Linked DNA regions of Struthio camelus. The protein of the gene in region 1 interacts with the protein of each later gene in a biochemical or structural test. Links are inferred from orthologs where the notes say so. Each region holds a gene or a part of one and is shown in the gene's direction. Other genes may lie near its edges.

The links.
Region 2: the proteins of FLT4 (region 1) and VEGFD form a complex in vitro, tested with the Homo sapiens proteins (2 studies listed by BioGRID). The link is inferred for Struthio camelus from reciprocal best matches to the Homo sapiens genes FLT4 and VEGFD.

The regions. Positions count from the first base shown.
Region 1 is NC_090954.1:7,200,021-7,210,158, reverse strand, and holds the start of FLT4 (vascular endothelial growth factor receptor 3), read left to right. Parts: upstream 1-5,466; 5' UTR 5,467-5,558; coding exon 5,559-5,616; intron 5,617-10,138. Other genes in the region: nuclear factor 7, brain-like, read left to right, coding at 1-38. UniProt on the Homo sapiens protein: Tyrosine-protein kinase that acts as a cell-surface receptor for VEGFC and VEGFD, and plays an essential role in adult lymphangiogenesis and in the development of the vascular network and the cardiovascular system during embryonic development.
Region 2 is NC_090942.1:139,492,120-139,502,134, forward strand, and holds the start of VEGFD (vascular endothelial growth factor D), read left to right. Parts: upstream 1-5,389; 5' UTR 5,390-5,794; intron 5,795-6,201; exon of another isoform or gene 6,202-6,340; intron 6,341-6,453; exon of another isoform or gene 6,454-6,725; intron 6,726-6,933; 5' UTR 6,934-7,010; coding exon 7,011-7,100; intron 7,101-10,015. UniProt on the Homo sapiens protein: Growth factor active in angiogenesis, lymphangiogenesis and endothelial cell growth, stimulating their proliferation and migration and also has effects on the permeability of blood vessels.

The DNA.
Region 1 (10,138 bases):
ACATGGAGCCCATGCGCATCTGCCACCTGGCCCTGTGAGGGCAGAGGGAGGAGAAGGGGGTGGTGTCCCATGGGGGCCATGGGGATGCTGCCGTCATGGCCAGGCTCCTGCGCTGCTTCTGGCTGCTGCCGTTTGAGGAGTCTCCTGCCGGAGGGAAGTGCCTGGCTCCGCGGGCTGCCCAGAGCCCGTGCGGTGGGCCGGCGTCCGGGCCTGTGCACAGCCACCTGGTGACAACAGCGAGGCTCTTCGCTGGCTCCTGGCAGAGAGAGAGCAGATGAATCTCATCCCCTTTCTGGCTCTGCTCTCACGTTGCAGTGCCGTGGGCTGCAGATCCGGCCCTGCGCTCTGGCTGACGCGTGTTGGAGAACAGCCTGTGAAATCTGAAAGTTGCAGAGCTCGATAACTGGAGCTGCCGGAGCTGTGGCCTCCACGCCGTGGCTCTTCTGCTCGTGAAGCCCGCAGAGGACAAGGAGAGCGTTTGCAGAGCACCAGGACCCGTTATCAGGTGCCTCCAAGGGCCAAGAACATGAGCGATGCCCGCGAGGGCCTGCATCCATCGTGTGCCACCGGGGTGGCCACGCATGAAGGATTTCTGAGCCCAGATGAGGGGATTTCCTCTGCTTGGAGCGCGTTTCCCGGGAGGCTGCAGGACCGCTCCCGGCAGAGGGAGCTCCGTGCTCGGCCAGAGCATGGCCCGGGCCCCGCTGCACCTGAGAGGCCGCGGGACTGGCTCCCCCCAGCTCTAGCTGCGGTGCCACCATTAAAGCTTCGAAAGGCTGCTGCCTGCTGTACTGGCTCGTGTCTTGCAGACTGCAGAGGAGCCCGAGGGCTGGGGTATGGCACGACCCAGGGGGATGTGGAGCAGCCGTGTGTGGCTCCGGTCCCTGTTCCGGGCCAGGCTGCTTCCCCTCTGCCCTGTAGCACAGGAGCTAGGAAGAGAGATGGTCCTGGAGGGCTGGGCGGCGGGGATGTGTGTGCAGCGGTGTTTGGGTTAGGGCAGCCCGTGCCAGCGCTGGGGACCTGGCGGGTGTGCAACCTGCCGCGCAGCTACTTCTGCATTGAAGCAACTGGGGTTTTAGATGTTCTTCTGATCCCAGCGAGGGACTTTCCCTTATGGGAGCAGTGGCTGCAGCGGCCCCGCCGTACCCTTGGGGCGCTCCCCAGCCATCTTGCCAGATGCTTTTAGCCTTTTGCTGACCCCCTTGGTCGGACTGCTTGGAAAGGGGGCCGTGTTGGGGGAGAGCTGGCAGCGAGCGCGACGCCCCAGCCTGGAGGAGTGGGGAGGGTTCGTCTGAGCCAAGCCCAGGCCTGGGGCCTCCGCGTCCCGACAGCGGGCACCCCGAGGGACGTGGCTCTGCCTGTGCCCCAGCCTCCCCGCTGCTGCAAAGCATGAGGCAGCAAGGGCCGAGCACGGGACGGCCTTAACTGAGAGCCCAGCCAGGGACTCGGGTCTCTGTGTGATCCGGAAGCCGCCCCGTCCTGGCTGGCTCTGGAGCATCCCGGGTATGGCGGATCGTTGCATGCGGGCGCTCGCTCCTTCCTTGGCTTTGTAGCCCCTCTCGTGCCCGCGTGCACCCTCGCGCCGAGCACTGGCTTGTCCCGCCGTAACGGTGGCGGATGCTCCGGCGGCACCGAGCCGATTCCTTCCCCCCCCGGAGCAGCCCTGGCGGGAAGGCAAAGCCGGGCTCCCCCAGGGAGAGGTCGACTGGATTCTGCTGCCGCGGTTTTCGCCCGCGGGGAGGCCGGCTGCATTGCCGTCTCGCCTCGGCGGTGCTTCTGGGAGGCCGGAGGTGCTGGGGCCGGGTGGGCGGAGGCCTCGGCCGTGGCCGGGGTGGGATTGCCGTGTTTATGCCACCGAAGTCCGCTTCGGGGTCAAAGCGGAGGCCGCCGCTAATCCGGCCCCGCGTAGCCTGAGGTGCTGGCGGGAGCGAGGGAGCTCTCGCTCTGCAGAGGCTCGAGGCCCTGCGCCGCGGTGAGGGCCAGGAGGGCTTCCCGGCTCCTTACAGCCGTGCCTAAGGACGTTCGTCCCAGCGCGTCCTCCGCCTGTCCCTCTCCCTGCCCCGCCGGGCACGGGGGCGAGGGGCTCTGCCTTGCAGCGGCCGGAGGAGAGCGCCTTGCAGGGAGCGCGGGCGGATGTCCCCGACGCCTGCCTGCCCTGCTCTTGGCGCGTCCCCTCGCCGCCCGCCGCGAGCAGGGGAAAAGCAGAGCAGGAAGAGCCGCTTGCTCGGACAGGCTGCAGCGAGCGGGCGAGATGCCGGGGCGGTTCGACGGCAGCGGCCCGTCGTCTCCCCCCCCCACCCCAGGGTGGCTCTGCTCCCGAAACGCAAGCAGCTCGGGCTCGGGAGCGAACGGCAGCCATCGCCGGGCGGCGGGATGCCTGGGGGACGGCGGCACCGCGCTCGGCACGGGCTGCCGGCAGCGAGCGGCACCGCCGCCGCGGGCCCAGCCCCGAAGCGGCACCGCTGCCTCCCTGCTCCTCCCTGAAAAAAAGCCGCGTTGCACCGAAGCCCGCTGCCCGGCGGAGCGGGCATCCGAGCGCGCGAGGGCCCGGCCTCGCTCTCTGTCCCCTGGAACGGGCCGCGTTGTCCTGGCTGCTCCCCTGGTCTCGCTCTGCCGCACGTCCCGCCGTTAGATGGCAGCACGGGCGGGCCGGTCCCCGGCCGGGTGCCAAATTTGGACTGCACGGAGCTAAGCGATGCCGAAATGCTTCGGCTTTCGGGGTGCCGGGGAGGTCGGGCCGCCTCTCGGCGGGGCGCTCCCTCCAGCCTCTCGCCCCTGCTCGCGGCTCCATCGCTCTGGCCTTGCCACGGCCGGGAGCACCGGGGCGGCGCGGCTCCGCCGAGGGACCCCATCCCGCGCTGCCCGGCCTTGCCGGGGCCCCCTCGGGTTTTGGGCCGGGAGGTTGGTTCAAGACGAGCGTGCTGAAGAACAGCCCGGCCGGGTGCTCTCGGGGTTAAAAGCTCGCAAAATCCTCGCTGGGGCCGTGCTTGCGGCGGCTGCGGCTTGCCTCGCGGGCCGGGCAGAAGGGCTGCCGGTGTTTCTTGCGCAGGCTGGGCAGCGAGAGCGCTCGAGCGCGCAGAAGGTTTTCGCGCCTGTTTAAAGCCGCGAGCACACGGGTCTCCTTCGGGCTTCTGCAAACGGGCCGTGATTAATAAACCGCCGCGGCGCAGCGCGGGGCCGCGTTTCTTTATTTATTTAAAGCTCCGCACGACGCTGCGTCCGTCTGCACGGAGATTACCGGTTACTAGCTGCTAATTGAATGGCATTTCTGCACAGCTCTCCGCTTTCATCTTCTTCGCGGGGTTTTTTCCCTCTTTCTTCATTGCTTGGTGGCGCCTGGCCCAAGAAGGAGATTTTTTTTTCCCTCCTTCCACCAGCTCTGGAGCTCCTGACCGCCCCGGTACCCCGGGATCCTACGGCCGGCCGCAGGGACCCCGCGGGCCGGCAGGCACCCGCGTCGGCCACCCGTCGCGTCCAGCCGCCCAGGGTGCTTTCTCAAGGGACGGTTTTGCAGGGGCGCGAAGCCCGGCCTCGCTGGCAGCGGCGCGGGGGCAGCGGCGCTGGCTGGGGGCGCGCGCGGAGCTGCGGCAGCAGCTGGCAGCGCCTCGGCGCCCGCGGCGCAGCCGAGCGCCTTCCCGGCCGCGCGTGGCAGATGGCATCCCGCCGTCCGCGGAGGAGACGGCTGCGGCCCCCGGGGCAGCCGAGGGGCGTGCGGAGCGGCCCACCGGCCCCACGGCTCCCGGCGCCCCTCGGCTCGCCGAGGCGGAGGGCTGGGGCTGGCAACGCGCCTGCAGGATGAAGAATGACTTGAAAAGGGAAAAGCGAGCGGAAAGAAAGCAGCGAAGAGCTGGCGGAGGAGGGAGCAGGCAGGGAGCAGCCCGTGCCGCAGAGGGTGTCTCCGCGGGCCGGCGTGCGCGCCGGCCCCGTGTTTCGTGGCACGCACGTGTCTGGGTGCGGATTCGGGCGCGGGTCTGTCGGCGAGGGGTGCCGCATGCCACGTGTAGCGGTGCTGGGGAGCGGAGCGGGTGTGCAGGGGGCGAGGGGCCGCGCAGCGACGCGGCTGCCCCACGCTGCCGGCGGCGTGCACGGGCGGGCTGCAGCACCGGGGCGCCCTCGCGCCCCCCAAGGCGAGGGTGTGCGGGAGCGAGGCTGCGCCCGGGGCGGGAGGAAGCGCGTGTGCGTCGCTGTGTGCCCTTGGGGGGTGTGCGGGGGGAGCGGGGCTGCAGGAGAACTGTGTGCCTAGGCGTGCGTGTGCAGGTGTGAGGTGTGGGGTATTGCGCGCGCGTGTGTGTGTGTGCATGCAGGCATGAAGGGGTGTGTGCGTGCAGGTGTGAGGGGTGCATGTTCAAGTATGAGGCTTGTGCGTGTGCATGCTGGTGCGAGAGGATATTTGTGTGCATTCCCACAGGTCTGAGGAAGTGTGTGTGTGTGCACACTAGCACAAGTAAGGGGCAGGGGGTGCATCGGCATTTGCACGCAGATGCAGGGTGATGCGTGTCCATGCAGATATGAGGAGGAGCGCAAGCATGCCCACACGGATGCAGGGGGTATGCACATGCGGACACACAGATGCAGGGCACCCATGCACGCAGATGCAAGGGGATACACACACTTGCACAGAGGCATGGGGAGGACGCACACCCGTGCACGCCAGAGCAGGGAAGAAGCACAGCGACACACACAGGTGCAGGGTTCTGCACACACAAGCACACAGGTGCAGGGGGATGCAGACACATGCACACAGGTGCAGGGAGGGTACACACACAAGCAGATAGGTGCAGAGTGGTGCACATACGCACACAGGTGCAGGAGGATGCACACACAGGTGCACACAGGTGCAGGAGGATGCACACACATGCACACGGATGCAGGGTGGTGCACACACGCACACAGGTGCAGGGTGGGTGCACATACAGGTGCACACAGGTGCAGGGTGGGTGCACACACACACACACAGGTGCAGGAGGATGCACACACATGCACACAGGTGCAGGGTGGTGCACATACAGGTGCACACAGGTGCAGGGTGATGCACACACACGCGCACACGGGTGCAGGGGGAAGCACACACACACGCACACGGGTGCAGGGGGATGCCCATGGCTGCCCACGCATGAAGGAGGGCTGCAGCGGGGAAGCAGAGGCATGCACTCCGGTGAAGGGAGGGACGCACATGCACACACACACAGAGTCCCCCCGCCGCCCCCCCCCCGGTGCAGAGGGATGCACACACAGCCGTGCGGGGACACACGCCCACCCGCGCGGCGGCGCGGCCCCCGCACCCAGCGGCGGGGCGCAGGCGGCGCCGGCAGGTGCGCCCCCCTCCCGCGCCCCGCCCCGGCCCCGGCCCCGGCCCCCCCGCGCCCCGCGGGCCCGGCGGAGGGCGGCGGGCGGCCGGCCGGGCGGGCGGAGGAAAAGGAAGCGGCCCCGGTGCTCCCCGCCCGCCGCGCGCGTCGCCGCAGCTGGGGCGCGGCGGGAGCAGAGCTCGGGCGCGGGGCGCTCCGCTCCGCACCGCTGCGCACCGCTCCGCGCCGCCGGGACCTGCCGCCGCCCCGGAGATGAAGAGAGTTTGCACGCTGCCCCTCTGGCTCTGGCTCGGCTTTGTCTCGGAGGCAGGTGAGCGGCACCGGCCCCCGCGGGGCGCCGGGCGAGGTGGTGCCCCCCTTCCCCCCCCCCTCCCCACCCCGGGCAGGCTGCCGGGCGGCTGCGCCCCTTCTGCCCCGCTGGCCGACGTGGGGCGGCCCCGGCGGGGCTGTGCCGGGAGCCGCCGCTGCCGGGTCTGAGCCCCGACGGGCACCGCCGCTGCCCGCGCCGGCATCGCCCGGCCCCGACGGGGCCGCGCCGCGCACCGGCGCTGCCGCCCCGCTGTCCCCGCTGGGGACGTGCCGCGCCCCGACGGGCACCGCCGCCGCCCGCCCCGCTGTCCCCGGCGGCCGGGATGGGCCGGGCCGGGCCGGGCCGGGAGGGCGCCGTCGCGGTCCCCTCGTCGCCGCCTCTCGCGGGGCCGCGGCGGGGGCTGCGGGCGCGCCGGCGGGGCAGCGCGCAGGCCGGCTCCGCGCTCCGCTCCTTCCCTGCGCAACGCTCCTCCTGCCGTAGCGCTTCTGGGGCGAAAGGGCCTTGGGGCAGAGAGTTGAAGCCGCGGGCCGCGGCGCGGTGCGGATGGACGCCGGAGCGCGGCGGAGAGACGGGGCTGCGACCCAGCCGCCCGGGGCGCGGAGGGCAGGGTGCTGGGCCTGGCGGGGTGCGCGTGGCCAACCGCGTCTGCTTTCCCGGCTGAGCCTCCGCGGCCCCGCGTAGCGCGGCGCTCCGGGCTGTTGCAGCGGGGTGCGCGTTGCTGTGGGTCCGCGGGGGCCCTCCCTTCCTGCGCAGAGCAGGGAGCTGATTTTGGTGCCAGGAGGCTGCAGGGTGGTGAGTGGCGTATCTCGAGGGGTACCAGGCCACCGCTGCCAGCGGAAAGTGGGCACGGAGCAGGCAGGGAGCGACGTGGGGCGCTCGCCACCAGGCAGGAGCCCAGGGAGTGGGCGTGGGGCACCAGCTCCACCGTCTCAGGCTGGGCACGCTCCTGGATGCAACAGCAAAGCGTTGACAGCCCAGATAAGAGCGAGGCTGCCAGAAAAGTTAGTAACGCAGGAAGCTTCCAACATGGGGAGATGAATTTTGGGAGCATAAATAGAATTCGCTGTAACCTCAGCTCGGTGACTCACTGTCACCGGCTGCGTTTGCTGCCGTCGTCAAAGCGAGCTCGCAGGAGGGCTGCAGGTCCAACCCGTCCCTGCTGCGAAGGGTACGGAGGTGTGTTATGGGGAGCATCGCTGGCAGAGGGCACTGCCAGGGCAGGACCACGGGGAGGGCACCACACGGAGAGCTTGCACTGTCCCAAATGCTGCCAATTTGCCTTGTGTCCTGGACTCGCCAGGCTGTTGGACCTCAAGGGGAGCTCCGGGAGGCAGGGTAGAAAGGGACTTGCTGCTGGTGGCATTGCGAAGAGAGCTGCAGCTGTTCAAAGCCCTTTTGTTAGCAATTTGTAAAGCATCTTGTAGCTGTTCCTCAGGTTCTTTCATCTCCCGGAGGTGCTGGGAGCTTTGCCTTGGGGATACTCTGACCAGCGCGCTGCTGCGTGATGTGTGGGCCTAATCAGCTAAGGGCTGTGCAGAGCTTTGAAGCTCTCCAGCGCTGCCTGATTAGTGCCACAAGGAAGGTTGACACAGAGCTCGACTGTGGGACCCAATGTCTCGTGCACAAAGCACCCACAAATTCTTCAGTGCATCAAATCCCCATTTAACGTCTTTACAGCTAGGTGCAAATACTTGCTCTCCCTGGAAGCAGGGACATGGGTATGAGATTGGTCCACCCAGAAGGTAAGAAGGATCTTGAGACTGTGAAAGATTTCTTCTGCTCTCACTCTGGTTCCTGTGTCCTGGGTATTGCTGCACCCCATCGCTGGGCTAAATGGGCCATCGCGGATTGGGGGTGTCTGCCTCTTTCTGAGAGCGCGTGGCCTTTCGCTCTGTCCCGGCTTGGAGGTTCTCTGCAGGGCGCGTGGTGGACGCGGGCTGCTGCCCTCTGCCTGGATGGAGCAGCCGCGGTGCTGCCCTGCGCGCGCACCATGGCGGGGAGCAGACGGGGTGCGTCTCGGGGTGGCCCTTTGCGGACGGCGCGTGGGAGCGTGCGCTCCCTGCCCGGCTCTTGCAGCGGCGGTGAGCAGCCACGCTCTGCGCCAGGACGAGAGCTCACCGCCCCGCAGCCGAGCAACGTCGGCGGGGGACCCCAGCTTGCCGCTTTGAACATCATCTCTCAGAAGGGCCCGTGCCTGTGTAGGACGCGGGCCGACTGCGTTGGCTGAAGCCGCGTACCCTCCTCGAAGAGCGCGCAGACCTCCCCCCGTCCGGGTGCTGCTCGGACGGTGCCAGCAGCAACATTTGGGTTTGCAGCTGCGATTTGAAGCAGTTGCTTTATTGCAAGTAATAAACAGGGGCCATTTCGGCAACACCCTTTCGTGAGCGCGCAACCAACCCCACTCTGGTTTAATCCAGCCACTTGTTAGTGCTGAACCAGATCCAGGGCCGGGGAGGCGGGCGATGGGGGGGCTGCGGGGCCGCAGCTCGCGAGCGCTGCTGCGGGGCTCCCGGCGAGGGGGCGGCCGGAGCCCCCGTGCCCTGCTGTCTGTTTAAGGAGAAATTCAGATGAATGGGCTGCAATTACCACCCTGGGATTTGGCTCGGGCACGCGAGCCAGCGGCTCCGTGCCTGCAAAAACAGCCACGAGGATGTTTGTTGCCGAGCTGGAGTTGACGTCTGGCCGGGGGACACACCCCCAGCGGCACAATGTCCCCGGGGCAGCGCGGGACGGGGACGGACCCATCCCGGCCAGGAGGGGGGCTACCTCCGGCATCGCCCACCCCGCTCCGCCAGCCCGCCGAGGGCTCTGGCACGCGTGCCGCCGCGCGCGCGGCATCGCCGCCCCCGGGGGGGCGTCTCTGGACCCCGCGGTCGGGCCGCCCGGCGCCCTCGGCGTGGGAAGGGCAGGTGTTCCCGGCTGGCCTGGGAGGGAACTCGCTGTTCCCGGCGTCCCCGGGGCAGTTCCTGGCCAGGGGACGGGAGAGCGGGATCCCACGGGAACGGCAGCGAGAAGGGGTCCGCGCCGACGGCAGGGGCCGCGGCCGCCGCTCCACGGGGTCGGGGGGTCCGCGGCGCTCGGGGGCCGTTTCTGGGCAGAGTTGCCACCGAGCAGAAGGGCTCGCGACGACTCCCCGGCTCTCCGCGGCTTTGGGAAGCGGAGCGCTCCCTAGGGATAGCGCCCGTCTCGCCCGCCCGTCCCCAGCCTCTCGAGCTCCCGCAGCGCCGCAGAGGTGTTTCCAAACGCGTGTCTCAGCCTTGGCTGGCTTTCGAGGCGTTCGTCTTCCAATTCAGGCAGCTGGTTTGAAACGGCACCCAGGGATGGGGACGAGGTTGGGGGGGGGGGGAACGTGTCACCTCCCCCTGTTTGGGGGAGAGGTGTAATAAGCCCAGGGTTGTGGGGATGCCCCGGGGCATCCTATAGATCTGGGGAGAAGCAGAAAGCGCTGCGGTGGCCGGACCGCGCAGCCTGAGCCCGCTCAGGGAGGGTGGCGGAGCGGCAGCGGACGAGCAGAGGTTTCCGCGCGAGGAAGGACGGAGCGCGCCAGGGCGTCGCGAGAGAGGTCTGCAACATCACGGCTTGCCTGGATAAGGCTGCTGGTGGCCAGTCGTCGTGGCGGGAGGATGGGAGGTGCCCCGGGGGCCGGCAGGGAGGCAGGTTGGCCCGTGCAGGAGGGAGGCGGCTGGTCGCGGGCCGCCCTGCAGCCCGCTGCCGTGGGGCCTTGCAGATGTCCGGCGTTTGCATGGGTGCAAAAGGCAGTTGTGCATGGAAAAATACAGAGGTTTTCAAGGAAAAAAAATCCACTAGTGATTAAAATTGAAGGCCTCCTTCCCACCCCAAGGGAGCCGCTCAGCTGCCTGTTGCGGGGAGCCGGCAGGGCGACGCTGGCCTTGCTTTGAGCCTTTTCCCTCGACAGGGGCCACAACCAGCGGTGGAGCGAGGTGCTGGGCAAGGGCTCCTCTGCTGCCGCTGCTGCAGGTGACCCTGCAGCGGGGCGAGGAGACGTGCGGAGGCACGCAGAGCATGGCTGCGAGCTGGAGGAGCCCAGAGACCTTTTTCGTTGTGACCTCCCCGAGTTAATGCCTCGCAGCTGCCCGGGACGCCTGGCTGTCCAGGTCCCCGACTGCAGAGGCAGCTCCTGCAAACCTGCACCTGCGCGAGGAGCCGGCCGACGGCCCGCGAGAGCGTCCCACGCGAGCTGCGTGAGATTCCCGTGGCCACTGCCACCACCATGAAGAGCGTGACCCGTCTGGAGCATGCAAGCGTCTCCTGTTGGGGACAGAAGCTGAACCTTTGCTTTGGGCCAGAATTGGAATTATCTTTTGTCCTTCATTAGCAAAAGAAATACCGCTGCAGCTGCACTAGCATCTAGTGACTGGTTAAATTAATTCCAGGGTTTTATTGCCTCTGGCTATCCCAGACCTTTGTTTCTTGTTTCACGTTGTTAAAAGGGAGGGTTAGCTGGGTCCCAGGGGAGCTTTTTCTCTCTGGTCAAAACAGTTCTGATGTTTTCGGCACGAAA
Region 2 (10,015 bases), on another chromosome or scaffold:
ACAGGCACAAACTGAACCACAGGCAGTTCCATCTGAACAGGAGGAAAAACTTCTTTCCTGTGAGGGTGACAGAGCACTGGAGCAGGTTGCCCAGGGAGGTAGTGGAGTCTCCTTCCCTGGAGATATTCAAAACCCGTCTGGATGTGATCCTGGGAAATATGCTCTAGAGGTCCCTGCTTGAGCAGGGAGGTTGGACTAGATGATCTCCAGAGGTCCCTTCCAACCTAAACAATTCTGTGATCCTGTGATCTCCCTGATGTCCTGTACATGCTCTGCTGCCACTATCTGTCCTACAGTGACTTGAGTTATATTGTTATAGGACTCTACATATATAGGACTCTATCCTAGCACAGGATAAGCAAATAGAAATATTAAAAGCACATAGAGTCCAAGCTGTGCTGTTGCTGTTCCCTACGGAAATACCTAACATTTTGTTCTAACAGAAGAGAAAATGCCAATTGGCCCTACCTTGTCATTAGCAGCATGAGTGCAGAAGTGCTCCTGCTGTACAGGAGGAACAGACAAGGTTCTTTAACTTGCTCAAGACCTTACCCATAGATTGCAAGGTTAAGGATAGTGATGTCATCTGCAGCCACATTTTCCTCTTAAGAAATTGTAAGGTTGATGTGATACAATAAATGTCTATTCGGTTACACAAGTTGGTGCAAGCTGCACATACCCTTAAGTCCCAGGGTGATTTAGCAACAGTGCTGTGTATACTTAAGAAAATGAGGACCTATTGTTATTATTTCCTCCTTGATAAGCATCCAAGAGTTCATCTGCTTTGCTCTCGATCCATTCAGAATTCAGCAGTCTGGATACTCATTGTGCTTTGCCTTGCTTATTGTACAGTAATGGGATATGAAGTGTCAGATTAAATGTAGGCATTGAACTATTGACTCTGCAGCCATCCTCTTGGTATCCGCCTCCTTCATGGCTATGTTTGTGAGCTGTTTCAGACGTCCCACTTGAACAGGTAGAGATCCTCTGACATACTTAGTTCTTTAACAGAACAGCAGCCAGTATTTTGGAGTTAAGCTGGAGACAAGGCCCTTGTTACAATAGGTGTCAAGGATGGCATTTTTTCCTTGGTTTGTCTGTCTGTCTATCTGTCTGTCTTCCTCCTTCCTCCCTTCCTTTCTTGTCTATCTGTCTGTCTATTTGTCTTTCTCTTTTTGTCTTTCTGTCATTCCTCTCCAAAACCTTGAGAAGTCTTTTATCTCTGGTGTTTAGCTCACCTCATTTCTTTGTAGGAAGAAAGTGAGGACTTATAAAAATGACAAGCAAATTAAGGGGTTGTGAATGCCATTACATGCTTCTGTAATTAAAGTCTGATTATCGTTTCAGTTGTGCCCTCATTAACAATGATGTACACAGAGATGGATGTGAAGATAAACAGATATAGAGCTCCTGTTGTGGTACATTTGTTGATTAGCAGGAATCCAGAGATAGGTCTTGCTCTCTTGATTGGGGGCCATGGGGAATAGGTCCCATAAAAGTCGAGTTATACGCAGACACAGAAACACAGGAAGCCCTGTTATGAAACACCAATTTTTTCATACTTAGGTTAGCTCTGAGATGCTGAAGCTGACCTTCAGCACAGCAACCATCTGCTCAATAGGTTTCCATCTCTCCTGGCATTAGGAATTACAAATATGAACTAGAAAAGGTAACAAAGCAGCTGTGCTCTCCTAGAGGTTGGGGTAGAGGCTTTCAAAGGCAGAGCGGTTCAAAGGTGTGTTCATCACTCAAAAGTTCAACCAAGTATGTTTGTGATTTTTATCTGCCTTTTGTTGACAGCGCTCCTCCTGCTGCATACAGTCAGCAATAGTGTCCCTGCTCTGAGCTGTGCCTCAGTGTGGCGTAACTGAGAATTGAACTTATGGGTAATGTGGTTCATATTTTTTAAAGCTAAGAGTATGTCTGCCCTTCAGCCAAGGGTGTGTTTGCAGCTTGTGTAGACATTCCCTAGTGAGCTTTAATCTAGCTAGATTGGATATTGATAGCAGTTTAGCCACTGCAGCCTGGAGCATAGCAGAGGCACAACACAGTTCTTTAGCCCACTTCTCAGGCAGGTTTTTCAGCCTGCACTGAGCTCTAAAGTTACTGCAGCAAGTAGGCAACATAGCTGGCTATCTAATTTAAGGATAGCTTAAGTGTAACCTTATGAGGTGAAGTGGCAGTCTGGCTGTGGACTGATTCTGGAGCTGGCTGGTTAGTAGTTCCTCAGGGCTCTTGTCACCCCAGTCTTTCTGCACCGACTCAGCAGAATCTGGCTATTAGATCTGGCATATTTTTTATAAGTTAATTTTATTAATAATCAGTCCAGCTCAGCACTTAACGTGTTTTCAAACATTCTGCTGTTTGATAGAAATTTCTGGTTCCAGTATCTATGCTAAAAATTGCTTTACTTCAAAAATATTTTAAAATTAATAATTACATGTGTGCGTGTGCTAAGTGATTAACCTCAAATTGCCGTGTAATTGCTGTGTCATAAGTATCCTATTAGGTCTAAATTAGATCATTGTTTGCAATATTTGAGATAATAGACCCAATTTTTCTTTTTCCATGTAATTTGCAAGAAAACAAAAGTTCTTCTGTGTGTGGATTACTTAGAGGGAATGTACAGATCCCCTCACAGAATCATCTTACAAATACTTACTTAATGACCTTAGCTGGGAATTATGTTATTTTCCTGACTATTGCTACATGCTGAGACTTAAATTTGTGCAGAGTTCTCAAAAGCATATTATGTGAGGAAATAATGCATTAATTGAGAGTAAAGGCAATTAATTGCCTTTATTGATCTACAATTTTAATTTTGCAATCTGAGATTAATCTGTTTAATTGAAGTTAATTTAGGGCATGGCCTCATGAGGCTTCCGTGATCTGAGCAGTGTTACTGATTTATGGCTTAAGCTTGTGTTAAAGGTCTGACGTATCTTCCCTTTGTGTTTTGTTACATGTTTCCAAATGAAGACGGTTTTTGTTTGCAGTGTTTCTCTCTTAGTTTTCTCTGGCAAATAGTGACACTGGTCACTGAAAGCTAAATATAGTATTATTTTTGCATTCCATTCATCAGTAAAAGTCTTTTTCCTCTTATTTACTGGGAAACCCAGTTAAAGAACCTGCATTACAACACAGTAAGCATTTCTGTTAAATAAGCTGTACTTGGTCTATGTATTCTATCTGACAAATTAGTGGAAAGAATTAAGAAAATATGATTAATCTATTCCTAACAATATCTACCAACTTCTAGGTCTTTTATACGTTCTTTTCAATCATAGAAACAGTGTATGAGTATCTTGATCAATATGTGAGATAGACCTAATTCAACGAAATTTTTAATGTACTGATTGGTTCCTGCAATATTAATCTATCAGCTACTCACGCAAAGGTGACATAAAATTATGAGCTCTATGTTAATTTAACAGTACCTTAGCCTTGCTGATGTCCGTAGTGCTGTGTCTACAAGAGTAGTCATGTAAATAGTCACATAAATTTTAAATGTCTTTTTTTACAGTACTAGATTTTTAAAAAATTACAAATCAGCCATGCACAGAACTGAGTAGGTGTTCCGCAATAGCAAACTGAGATAAAACAAGAAATAGAATGCAAACGTTGTTAATTTGTGTTCAGATATGGAATGAAAACATGAGGCATAGCCCTGGAAGGCGTCTGGTTGGGCAACAAGTCTGTTCCACTGCTGTTGCAGGCAGCCTGCAGTATAATCTCAACATACTTCTGAGTTTTCAGCTTCATCCTGAAAGTATTTAGATTGTTCTCATTGCAGCACTAGACCGGAAAAACGGTAAGCAAGTTGTGTGAAGAGCTGGTCTGAGATGGTGCTGGAGAGAACACCTGTTCATATCCTGAATAAGAGGGGAGAGACAGGAGAGGTAGGGGAAGGGATGGGGACCTAGGTGCAGACTGCGAAAGTAAGCTGTTTCCTGAAAGTCCTTCATCACAGTTGTTGTGCTGTTCCGTCAACTGATTCCTTTTCCTTTGCATTTGCTTTCATTAACGGCTTTGGGCTAGATTTAAAGTCTACTGCAGTCAACAAGAGTTTTTTTCCTTCTTTGCCAGCCTTTGTGTTTGAGCCCTAAGGGAGGCATTAAATATTTTTTCTCTCTTCTCTACAGCATTTAACTTGCTCTTGTAAATGGGTTTGATTCAGTGCCAGAGGTTCACTTCAGCAATCCTGCCAAAAAGCCCATTGAAGCAGAGGTGGGTGGATTTTTCTGATGACTAGTTTGCTTCCAGAAAGTTGTAGGTTTGGTCTTTCCAAATGTATTTGTGATTTGAGGTTGAATTCCTTAAATAGCAGTGATGAACTAAAAAACAAACAAAACACCGATAAGGAGTTTCTCCCCAGCATTTCCAAAACAAACAGCCTTGCTTTTCTAGTGCTAGATTGCTAAGAATGCCTTAAGTATGTTTTGCAGATCCTGCAAAGGCAGAAAGGCCATCATCACCATCATCTTGATGTTGAGGATATGACAGCCATTGGGTTTGAATCACTTTCCTTCCTGATACAGAGTAAAGACCTGAGCTATAGTCTTATTCTCAGAAATGGGCCTTCATTACTCATCTGTAGAATGTACCACCACAGGTGCTTTACACTCTCTCCTTGAAGCTGTTTTGCTTCATATAGTTAAACACTTACTGAGCTGAAGAAATTCCATAGCTGGTGTTCAAAGCCTCTGTGATGTACCTATTTTTTTCTTTGCTTTGCCAGCTTATGAAATAGAATGGTGATGCTTATGAGAGGGACAGAAGCAGACTGTCTGATGGCTACAGGAAGCCTTGCTCCAGGTGCCTGTCCTGGCTGAAGAAAAGGTGGGCTTTCATGTGAACTCCCCAAGGGGAGCAGAGCAGCTCAGCCCTGAACTGTGCTGGTGATAGCCTGTATAAGTAAGCATCTAAGTCACCAGGCTGCAAGGCATGAGAGTATCACTCCTTGCCTGTTTTGTAAATCTGGGTCTGTGTTTCAATTAATGATCCCCAAAAATGAGACATTTTGATCTCATTTATTGGGCAGATACTCCCCAAGTTAACTTCAGGTCAACAGAAAATTGTTATTATCATGCAGTCCTGGGAGCACTGTATTTTTCGTTATTTTTTCGTTCAGTCCTTTATGCTGGAGCACCACATGCAAGGCCAAGGAGTATTCATTTAGGTCAGCAGGGTTTCAGTTCCTGCAAGGACCTGGATATCAGTATCAGAAAGTGGAGAAATTAAATGAGGTTAAGGTGAACATACATGAGCATTAGAAAATATGCGAATTTAAAATGATTAAATAAATAGTTCATGTAATTTAATGTGAAATACAGTAATTGTCACAGAATGCCCCTTGTATCTGTGAGGCCTGTCAAACCACGTGAAGACCACTGGCAACATGGCTATGGGGAAGGTGTGAGTGAGAGAAGCAAGCACACAGAAAAGAGGAGCTATTTCACACCCAATTCAGAGAGGTGACATTCCTGCTGTCCTTGTACAAACCAGAGCAGGATGGATGGGGAAGAAAGCCACCACCTAGAAAAAAGGGGGAATAGATAGCTTCCAGGAAACAGGTGGCAAAAGACTATGCTAAAAAATAATATAATTACATACATCATATGCTTCTGAAATAAAACGGCTCAGTTAAATGGCAACAGCTGGAATGAATGGATTCAAATAATTTTTTCTCTGATGTCCATTTGTGATGAGTACTGAAGAAGAAATTATGCAAGCTAATGATAGTTACAGAACTGTGGCATACGGATTTAAGAGAGCTACTGCATGAAAGTTGAAGGTAGGAAATAAATGATCTGAAATTATTAGGTACATGGCTGACTTTTATGTTAACAGCTATAGGTTCTGATTCTGCAAACCCTAAACTATGTGAGAGTTGATCGTGAATATAATATATGAGAACAGCAATATATATTAAACATGCATAATTAGCAAAGCCTTGCTCTATGTTTTAATTATAAATGTTAGATCTCCATTTTGGTTTTAAACTGTGGAAAAATACAGAGAAAATGCATCTAGGTCTTTCCATTTTGCTGCAGAAATAATTTGCTTTTACTGCAATAAAAACAGATTTATTCTTTTTATATCTGTAGCTTCAGGAGTTTTCATTAAAAACAAAATCCTTTTTGTTGTTAAGGATAGTTTTTAACTTTCCTTTGTAAAGGAAATCTATCCAGAAAACCCTATGCCACAGAAGATAAAAGGCAGCAAAGAAAATGATCTTTCTCCTTCTTTCTCTTTTCCTTTCTCTCCCTCTCTTTTTTTTAAGAAGTAACTTAAAATGTGTGCGCTGTGTAAGAACGTGTGCTGAAGTTTCATGTTTCAGGTAATCTTCTTTAAAATAATGGGAGTATAGATTGCATCAGTTAGTTTAAAAACTGCTATGCTATTGGTAGGGACAAAATGGGATTAGAGCCAAAATTTGACTGTGTTACTGCCAGAGTCTGTATCAGATTTAAGACACATGCTTCTGCAAGCTTCCATGAAGGCTGTGAAAAAAGTTTTAATACAGAGTTGGATTACAGCTCTGTAGCTCAAAACATTGGCCATTACACTACTATCTTAAAAGGCTGATGTAACACGGAGCACAAAATAGAGAAGATCTTTTAAATTTTCTGGACCATAGATGGATTTTTCATACCTCTTTGTGTCCTGATGGAAGATATATCAACTTTGTTAACTGGAATCCATACCTGATTACTTGTGAGATTGTACGTGTGTGCATACAGATATATATCTATTTAAACTCTTATCATGCTTTGCTTTCAAGTATATCTAAAACCTACTCTAAGAAATGACATTCACTAGACGAATTTATAATTGTTTTGAAGAGTGAGAGCTAGATACTCTCATACGCTGGAATTCTTTGTGAGTTTATAACAGAAATTTTGGAAGCTTTCTTTTTTGTATTGGTGATAGAGAAATGCATTTCGAAACAGACGCCTCCAGCTGTATGACAATAACTGCGTAGCAACCTGTGGATCTGAAACATCACAATGTACAAAGCGTGGGCAACTGTGAATATTTTCATGGTGTCTTTTCTACATCTCCTGCAAGGATCTGATTATGAGAATGGATCTGTGAAGGTAGGTGATCTTTTCTTCACTGTCATTGTGAATAATCCAAACTGCCAGAAATAGGTAAATTTATTGTGCAAGGTGGTAGTCTTTTTGCTGTGCTTTTTTGTGTGTGGTTGTTTAGTTCTACAGATGTTTAGCAGCCACAGAGGAAAGAAAATCTTTAATGAAGTTTAATCCATACTCAGTGTTCAATATTTTCTTTTGCTACTCATTATTAATTAATTATTGTATACTTTCTTCCTAAATAAAACTTTTAATATCAGTTATTCAAAATAAAAAAAAAAATCTAAATAAAAATGCAAGTCAGAACATTTCAAATACTTGTTAAATTAACTCTTTTATTTCAGGAATGTATTGTTTCAGGAATTAATATCCTCATCTTGAAATTTTTCCTCTAAAAACACTTGTTTATCCGTTGTTCACTTGTTTCCAGATATCAGAGATATGTCTTCTTTTGTTTTATTAGGAAATGTTACCCAAGACTCTAAACTAAGCAGATACTAGTAATAATAGAGCACATGCCCGGGAATTAACCTTTCTTCTGAATGGAAAACATACAACAAAATTTGGGGTGAAGCCTTACCTTGAGAGCAGGATTTTTCGAATCTGACTTTCTGAGACAATGTGAGAACATCCAGGACAATCATTTCTAAAAATCAGAACAAGAACTGGAACAAGATCCTCAGCAAGCAGTATGTCCAAACCATGATTAATTCAGTGTGTGGTCCAGAACGAATTATTTGTTTTTCACCAGTGGAGCAAAACAAGTTAATACTTTTGTTTTCACTTCAGAAAACCTCCTGCTTGCAAGGGATGACCACACACTTGTCTGTGAAATGCATTGCATGTTGACCTCTGTTTTAGAAAAGAAATGCTAAGTTATGTGCTTAATTGCAGATTCCTGTTGCCAGCACAAGAAGTTAGTGGTGAGCGATGTGTGCTTCAGAGTGACTAATGACTAACCCCTTTTCCTGCCCACCATTCAAAAGCTTTTAACTTGGAACTTCAGCAATCAGTTCTTTGAAGGCATTAACAGCAGTGTAATCAATCTGTATATACATTACTTCACACACTGCATGACCAATCGCCGGTTTCTTACGTGAAGGAATCACTTTATTTAAATCAGAAAACAATTTCTAATAGAGAATACTAACCATTATGTAATTGGATATGATGACAATTCTGTTTTCACAAAGGGCATGAGTTTATTCAGCATAATAGTAAGCCACTACTTCAACTGAATTTTGAAACCTTATCCACTTTACCTAGAATAAATGCAAGACCTCTTCTTGCTGCTGCACCTACTTGTTATGCATAGTTTCTAGTTCATTCATTGTGATAGCATTGTCTGTCCAACAGATACACAGCTTTAATTGTTTTCATCTTAAGTTTGCTACCGATGTCAAGCAGCCACAGTCTAGGCATAGGGTATTCTTGCAATATAATAATAAATCACCGTTTATTTCCAAGACTATCATGAAGGTATAGCATAGATCACACTAAAAAGGGCTGTGTTTTGCATGCATTGGTTGCTGATTACCAAAACAAAAAGTCAGTTTCTCTGCTTGTTCAGACGGTATAGATAGTTCACTCTGCATAGACAGAGATTCTTGGCTGAGTTGTTGATTACTTTTGTTCTGATGTTTTATTTAGTATGTTAGATTTCTGGATTGTTCTGGCATTTATGACCCATGGCTTTGTGTGTGTATATATCCCACAAAAAATCCTTCATGTTACAGTGTTTAATGGTACACAGGGTTACACTCATTCTTACTGATGTGCCTTAATTTTAGTTGCAGAACACAGAAAGAATGTATTGTATCCACCTTTCCCACCTTAATTTTTAAAGCTTTTTAAGATCAACGGCAATATTGCCAGAATAAAAGCCACAAAGTCAGGATGTAGGGAATACACATCTAATAAGGCACAAGGAATCACACAGAAGCAACCTACTGTCTCTATCAGTTGTTATATTAGTCCAAGCAACTGAGCTCTACACAGTAAAGCTGAAGTTTTAAACCTGTTGATGACTCAGGTGGTTGTCAATGTGATATCAGTTGATAGAGTTTTGAGGGGAATTAAATACTCATTTATCCCCCTTCCACAAATATCCTACATAATATTGTGAACGTTAAAAAGCTTGCTTACAAGCTGCCATAGTCTGAGTTATGGTTAACTTTTCCTAACCCAACAGAACTACCATCCTCTTGTGGGTACTGGCATCTTTTTCCCCATGTCTGCACCAATCCCAGTCATTCCCTGCTCACCAGTCCCAGTTCTTCCTTCCTGCCTTCCTAAGTGAGCTCTTCTCGTTCCTTACTTCAGCTTTACTGGATCCCTGACCCGTGTTGCCTGACCCACTGGCTTACAGTCGCAGTTTTTCTGCTGGGGTTCCTTGGGTGCTCTTTGTGCCTTCCTTCTTCCTGCTAACTCACCCGTGGATTGGGATATACCACCTCTCTCGCAGACCCTCAGGAGGTCGGTCTCTCCTAGCAGTTTCTCAGTGCCAGTCTTGGTGCCCTACCAGTCCCTTTTGCTTTCCAGCTCTGATCTGCTTATCCCCCCTTCCCATCCTCTGCTTCCATCCCTAGTTCCCTGTTTTGTCTTTGGGTTCAGGTCTTGGTTTTCCTTTTCCCTAAACCCAGTTTCTAATTTTAGTCTCCTCCAATACTTTCAGGCTCCTTGGCTGAAGGTCTTACCTTTTTCCATCAGTGTTTATTTTCTTCCCCTTCCACAATCAAATCTGATGGCTTCCTTTCCATGTTGCCCAAGCCCAGCAGCTTGAGGGAGAGGAAGGGAGCTTTCAGCTCTGTGGGCTGGGCCAGTGCTGATCTGCAGCCACATCCTGCTCAGCTCCAGGCTGGAGTGTGGTCAGCACAGGCACAATCTACAGAGAGTTTAGCTGCTAAACTCCAAAAGTC